Danio rerio: one gene and its partner. The protein of the gene in region 2 binds, or shares a complex with, the protein of the main gene of each other region. Links are inferred from orthologs where the notes say so. Each region holds a gene or a part of one and is shown on either strand. Other genes may lie near its edges.

Region 1 (3,523 bases), on a different chromosome or scaffold from region 2:
AAAACTGCTTTTATTACAGTTTTAATAAAAAAATAAATAAAACAAATAAGACCTTCTCCAGAAGAAAAAAATATTATCAGACATACTATGAAAATTTCCTTGCTCTGTTAAACATCATTTAGGAAATGTTTACAAAAAGTAAAGAAAATTCAAAGGGGGGCTAATAATTCTGACTTCGACTGTGTGTGTGTGTGTGTGTCTATATATATATATATATATATATATATATATATATATATATATATATATATATATATATATATATATATATATATATATTATTTGCAGCAGGATAAACAGAAATCCAGCAGTGTTTATTCATTCTCTGACAGTAAAGCAGTCTCTCTGACGTCTGTCTCATGATATTTATTACAGCTCTCACACACAGACACCCACTCTTTCTCTCTTTCTCGCTCACACACACACTTCAGCTTGATTCAACTGGATCTCCATTTGTGCTGAAACTACATTTTTTGCTGTTGCTTAAATTGACAGTAACCAGGAGGACTTGTGTTTTTGTCCACATGAGCAGTCTTAAAACATTTTATTCCAGCAAAAGAAAAGAAATAACAAATCCAAAAAGCCCATTACTAGTTAACACAATCTGATTTTTACTGATAAAAAAAAAAAAACAGGCAGAATGTCACATGACTCGGATGCAAATAATGAGATGCAAAACCTTTATCAGGGCATTTGCTTTCAAATGATGAGCAGATATTTTGAGATTACCCAAGGGCCACAGTTTGTCATGAAAGGGGAGCAGAGTTATTAAAAAAAGTCCTTGATGAAGGCTTCAGAACGCCAGTTTCTTCATCAGCAGATAAACTCTGCTGTCCACTTCAAACCCGTGCAGATTATTAGCATCGCCTTGAAGACGCATCAGCAGGCCTCCATACGACACGTACGCTGATCTGTGCACACACACACATATAAACATTCACTCACTACTACAGCAACAATAGAGTGGAGGAGGAAATGCATTACAGAAATAGATTCTGCACTTATACTGGCATTTTAACAGCAGATGTCGCTCTAGGCTAGTTTTTAACAGCAGTTAGCTCTTAAGGCTAATTTTTTTAGCAACAAGAGGCGTTCTAGACTAGTTTTTAACAGCAGATGGCACTCTAGGCTAATTTTGAGCAGCAGGTGGTGCTCTACACTAATTTGACAACAGATGTCGCTCTAGGCTAGTTTTTAACAGCAGTTAGCTCTTTAGGCTAATTTTTTTAGCAACAAGAGGCGTTCTAGAGTAGTTTTTAACAGCAGATGGCACTCTAGGATAATTTTGAGCAGCAGGTGGTGCTCTACACTAATTTGACAACAGATGTCGCTCTAGGCTAGTTTTTAACAGCAGTTAGCTTTTTAGGCTAATTTTTTTAGCAACAAGAGGCGTTCTAGAGTAGTTTTTAACAGCAGATGGCACTCTAGGATAATTTTGAGCAGCAGGTGGTGCTCTACACTAATTTGACAACAGATGTCGCTCTAGGCTAGTTTTTAACAGCAGTTAGCTCTTTAGGCTAGTTCTTTTTAATAACATAAGGCGTTCTAGACTAGTTTTAGTTAGGAAATGCATTACAAAAATAGATTTTCCATTGATACTGGGATTTTAACAACAGATGTTGCTCTAGGCTAGTTTTTAACTGCAGTTAGCTCTTTAGGCTAGTTTTTTTTTAGCAACAAGAGGCGTTCTAGACTAGTTTTTAACAGCAGATGTGGCTCTAGGCTAGTTTTTAACAGCAGATGTCGGTCTAGGCTAGTTTTAACAGCAGTTAGCTCTTTAGGCTAGTTTTTTTTTGCAACAAGAGGCGTTCTAGACTAGTATTTAACAGCAGATGTCGGTCTAGGCTAGTATAAACAGCAGTTAGCTCTTTAGGCTAGTTTTTTTTTTGCAACAAGAGGCGTTCTAGACTAGTATTTAACAGCAGATGTCGCTCTAGGCTAGTTTTTAACAGCAGTTAGCTCTTTAGGCTAGTTCTTTTTAGCAACAGAAGGCATTCTAGACTAGATTTTAACAGCAGATGGCGCTCTAGGCTAGATTTAACAACAGATGTCGCTCTAGGCTAGTTTTTAACAGCAGCAGTTGGCACTCTATGATAGTTTTGAACAGCAGATGTCGCTCGGTTAGTTTTTAACAGAAGTTAGCTCTTTAGGCTAGTTCTTTTTAGCAACATAAGGCGTTCTAGATTAGTTTTTTTACAGCAGATGGCGCTCTATTCTAGTTTTAACAGCAGATGTTGCTCTAAGCTAGTTTTTAACAGCAGTTAGCTCTTTAGGCTAGTTCTTTTTAACAACATAAGGCATTTCTAGACTAGTTTTTAACAGCAGATGGCACTCTAGGCTTGTTCTGACCAGCAGGTAACACTCTACACTAATTTAACAACAGATGGCGCACTACACTAGTTTTAACAGCAGATGTCGCACTAGGCTAGATTTTAACAGCAGCAGTCAGCACTCTACTAAAGTTTTAACAGCAGATGTCGCTCTATACTAGATTTTAACAGCAGCAGTCGGCACTCTGATAGTTTTAACAGCAGATGTCGCTCTATACTAGATTTTAACAGCAGCAGTCGGCACTCTCTGATAGTTTTTAACAGCAGATGGCACTCTAGGCTTGTTCTGACCAGCAGGTGGCACTCTACACTAATTTAACAACAGATGGTGCACTACTCTAGTTTTAACAGCAGATGTCGCACTAGGTTAGATTTTAACAGCAGCAGTCAGCACTCTACGAAAGTTTTAACAGCAGATGTCGCTCTATACTAGATTTTAACAGCAGCAGTCGGCACTCTATGTTAGTTTTAACAGCAGATGTCGCTGTAGGCTAGATTTTAAAAGCAGCAGTATCACTCTCTGATAGTTTTAAACAGCAAATGTAGCTCTCGGCTAGTTTTTTAAAAGCAGATGGCTCTTTGGGCTAGTTTTTTTAGCAACAGAAGGTGTTCCAGGCTAGTTTTTAAAAGCAGTTGTTATTCTAGACTAGCAGGTGGCGCTCTGGGCTAGTTTATAAGAGCAAATAAGCTCAAAACTGAATAAAGATGCATTTTGCATATCTCCTTATCGATTCAGAATTCTCTTTCAAATTAATTTCCCCCACAGCTGATATATAATAACAATGCATATTAATTGTTTACTTTATTTAAAATACCTTGATAAAAATCTCACATTTCATGCATTCACCTATATTGTAAAATCCCAGTAAAAAAGTAGTAAATAGGCAAATAAATCAACACTCACAGTCGTGTGGCGGCTTCTGTAGACGTTTCATCTCCTTCAATCCTATAAACCTTTCCGTACATTACATAATCAAACTGATCAGCTCTGCAAAACAACAACAAACACCACCGAGTTTCATTTACTATTGTCTGTGTGTTGACCTTTCTGTGGATTTAAAGTAGCAGTGACTTAAGACAATTCCTCATTGATTAAAAAAAGTTGCCCATCAGTCATGACACTAGAAAAGTCATTTAAACAACTTTAATGATGTCATTAGTAATTAATTTACATTTTTGGGGTTCTATTTCAC
Region 2 (3,927 bases):
AGGAAACGCATGGGAGGCAGTAAACCATGAAATTGGCCCAGTGGTGAAAGAAGCAGCTTTTCTTCAAAGAGGTGGGGAGGAGGAAAGGAAGCATTGTTGATGGGCACAATTTATTTTATTTTTGTTACATTGCACATTTAAGCCACAATTGCATTAACTGGAACTTTATATATTTATAGTTTAAATGTTAAATATGAGGCATCTTAAATTTGCTAGGGTTTTTAACAACAAACAATAGAAAGGTCATGATGAGCAAACGAGAATATGAACACTATTTTGTATTTGCCTACTATTTGTTATAATTTATTAAAGAATAACAATAGAAATTCTGACTCAAGCAGGCTGATTGTAATCCAGGTAATGAGTAGCCTACCACCATTTACTGTCAGTTTTATCTAGCTATGGATTTTTGCGCCATCTACTGTCCATTGACTGTGACACATCTTTGTTTTGCAGGAGAGACATGCATTTACAATAAAACAAGTAAAATAAATGTATAATTTCTATATAAAAATAATTATGAATCGCAATTTATGTATCCAAGATAAGTTAATAGAGAATTCATGATAGAGTCAATACTTTATTATTATTATTATTATTATTATTATTACTTATCTGTCAAGCCTAAAAATAATTTAGTTACATTCCAGACAATATAAATGTTTAACAACATAATATAGAGCAAATACATAAAATAATTATATGGGATAATATAATTCCTACAATGTGGCAATGTGCAAATTGGGGGCTATGCCTTGTTATCTAAACTTGAAGTATGAATTATTATTATTATTATTATTATTATTTTGATTCACATATATTTATACAATATAATTACATTTCATTAATAAAATAGATGTTTAAAATTATACGTGTAAATGAGTTGAGTTATACTGTAAACGAAGAAAAAAATAAACATCAAAATTGTAATTAACATGCACATATACATATTACACAATATAGTAAAATGAAATAGCCCTACCAAAGGGTTCTAGATCAGTGGGCCAGGGCCTACTGTAAAATATTACGCTGAACAAACGAGTGACTTTTATTATGAAAAACGTATAGTCGGCCATGTTGAAAGCGAGTATGCTCACGCTGAAAACAGAAAACAAAAATTGTCTCATGTTTTGAAGTTCAGCTTACGTTTACACCATGGACGAACAAATTACTGTAAGTATCTCTAGTGTGTATTTTGTCAGTCTGCAGTGTTATGTGGAAATTCGTTATACTCTGTGAGCTGCGGTGCTGTTTCTCCAGGGTGGATATAGTGAGCCATGCGGACAGTGCGCTGCTGTGGACTGGGGAGTGTCAGACGAGGGTCAGTTCTTCTGTAAGAGCTGCCACAATGTCATCGAGGTGGGTTAATAGATATTTTAATATATAGTACATTAATACATAGACAGAAATCACTTTTTTTTTACATATGTATAGTTCTTCCAATTCCTATGAGCTTGTTTAAATGCATGGACAGGTATGAAGTTGTCGTATGTATTATAATTTACTCACTTTTCTGCTGATTTTCATTATGCTGCTGACTTTAATAGTTATATTAACATTTAATTTAATGATTGGTTAATTAATTTAAAAAAAATCATTAAACAAAAAGCTAATTAAAGCAGGAGTTGGGTAAATAAATATTACTAATTATTATCATACTCCCCCGGTTGATTGATTTATTTTTATTGAAAGCAGACATAAATGAAAACTTTTCATTTTATGAAAACTAAAATAGTATTTTAGTCACGTAAAGCTTATGCAGGTTTTATGAATGGGTTACATGCACAGAAGTGTTGTTCAGCCGAATCTTCAGGCAAACGATTGATGTGACTAATTTCAATTGCATAAGGGACCTTTTACAGCATCGATAATGTAGATTTTTATTTAGTTTAACAAAAAAAAAAAAACATCAGTAAATAGCGCTTTTCTGCCCAGCCTGCTCTACTGAGCTGAAGTTAGTTTTATAATCACATTGGTTCATTGTTTAACACTAGCCCCTTTCACACATACAGACCTTTCCGGAAAATTGGCGGCAATTTTCCGGCAGGTCCTTTTTGAAAATACCGGTAAATTCGTTCTGGCTATTTTCCGGAAAGAGAAGTTGTAACATTACCGGCAATTTGCCGGAATGCTGCGCTGTGTGAATGCAGAAGGAAGATTCCCGTAATAAGCGCGTGCACGTCTAGAACGTGCTGACGTGAGACGTCTGCTTTAGCCAATCACAACAGTCAGACGCATTTACGTCCGCGGGGTTTGTGAGAATAAAAGCCTTTGAATATTTTTCCAGACACATTTAGCTGCTAGAAGTTAGTCAGATCACGTTTATATGTTCTTCTTAATGCCAACTGTGTAAATAATCATCGATGAGATGCTTATGATAAGCCGTTGTTTGTTTACCTTCAAGCTTTGCGTGTGCCTGTGAAACAGCCTGTGAGCGCCTGCACACGCAGATATTATGAACATCTCGACATGCGAAAGTGATCCTGCGAAAGTTGTTCACAATATTGATCATCCACAGAGTTTGTAATTTAGTCAAATGTTTACAAACACAAGCGCAGCCGTTTAAAGCTCATTTGTGGTGAATGATGTCAGAATTTACCGGTATTTTGGAATGGATGTGTGAATGCTCTTTTCCGGAAAATTTCCGTAACGTCCTTACCTGTGTGAACAGGGCTTTTTTGAATATACCGGTAAAGTCGTTCCGGAAATTTTCCGGATATTTACCGGTATCACTGTGTGAAAGGGGCTACTCACAATCTGTGAAGTGCTCCTATATTGTTTACCATGCTACGCTGAATATTCAGCCTGAAATAGCATGTAAATATGGCTTAGTAATAAGTGTAATTCCTGCATGCCACCGGCCAACCACTAAGCATACAGTAGTCGCTGTAGGACAAATCGTGTGAAAGAGTGAGACCAGCGATCCTTGCATGCATTAAATATTGTACATCATGACAAGTTTTGCTTGCGACAGAACTGAAAATGTGCTAGATATATAATACAGTATGTCGTTCGGAATTGTAGTTTTATAAGTACTATAAAGTTTTCTAACTGGCAAATGACACAATCTAGTGATTGTCTGCTGTCAACTTTAAGCTGCGCGTTCATGATTTCAGGAGTCCTGGCTTGGGATGGCTGGGGTTTTCTAAGATATGCTAACGGATAGCATTTTGGCAGATTACCTCCTGCACCTTTAAACTGACAAACAAAACAAAAACGTTTGGTGTAAGACTTGCTGAAGAAGCTTTATGGCTCATTTCAGGAGAACAAAACCAATTTTTAAAAAAAAACAGCATCTGAAAACGTGTAATATAATAGAAATCTGCAGGCACAAATTTATAGTGCTATAAAAGAAACACTTTATGATGACTGTTTTGTCTACAGTGTCTCATCTTAATGGCATGATGTTATAAGCTTTACACACCTAAAGCATGTTGCTTGTTTTAACATCTTCTAGAAAATAAGGGAGGTAGAGGATGTTACCAGCCTTCATCATAAGCATGGCAGGATCTCAATAGTCAGGAAACCCAAGAAGAAAAAACATGGTCAGTCCAGCTTTACTTACTGTTTTTATTCTTGTTGATCATTTCTAACAGGATATTGTGCTAAAATGAAAAATTGAACCTGACGCCTCTTATGTCTGTTTTCAGATTCTGAAAGGGAGTGGTTGGTCTGTGAGGGATTTCAGTTCATCCTCAAACACCAGGCCAAGGCTTTGGTCAGTCTAGGTGTTTGTATGAAGTTTGAGGTTAGTGCTCTTCGTTTACTGAATCAAATTAAGTAGTTTGCACAGTATTCTTATGTTGTTAGATTTTATATTTGGTACATTGATCTCTTATGTAATTATGTAATTTTCTGTATAATTTGTTTTACTTTATTGTAGAGGTTTTTTTTTTTGTGGGTGCAAGTGTAAAATATAATGTATAA

The links.
Region 1: taf1b (region 2) and polr2h share a complex: the UniProt entries of both Homo sapiens proteins name them as parts of the pol I pre-initiation complex. The link is inferred for Danio rerio from reciprocal best matches to the Homo sapiens genes TAF1B and POLR2H.

The regions. Positions count from the first base shown.
Region 1 is NC_133197.1:38,618,422-38,621,944, forward strand, and holds the end of polr2h (DNA-directed RNA polymerases I, II, and III subunit RPABC3), read right to left. Parts: intron 3,319-3,523; coding exon 3,235-3,318; intron 912-3,234; coding exon 794-911; 3' UTR 514-793; downstream 1-513. UniProt on the Homo sapiens protein: DNA-dependent RNA polymerase catalyzes the transcription of DNA into RNA using the four ribonucleoside triphosphates as substrates.
Region 2 is NC_133195.1:32,286,203-32,290,129, reverse strand, and holds the start of taf1b (TATA box-binding protein-associated factor RNA polymerase I subunit B), read left to right. Parts: upstream 1-1,062; 5' UTR 1,063-1,155; coding exon of another isoform or gene 1,156-1,173; intron 1,174-1,260; coding exon of another isoform or gene 1,261-1,359; intron 1,360-3,457; coding exon of another isoform or gene 3,458-3,545; intron 3,546-3,650; coding exon of another isoform or gene 3,651-3,748; 5' UTR 3,749-3,927. UniProt on the Homo sapiens protein: Component of RNA polymerase I core factor complex that acts as a GTF2B/TFIIB-like factor and plays a key role in multiple steps during transcription initiation such as pre-initiation complex (PIC) assembly and postpolymerase recruitment events in polymerase I (Pol I) transcription.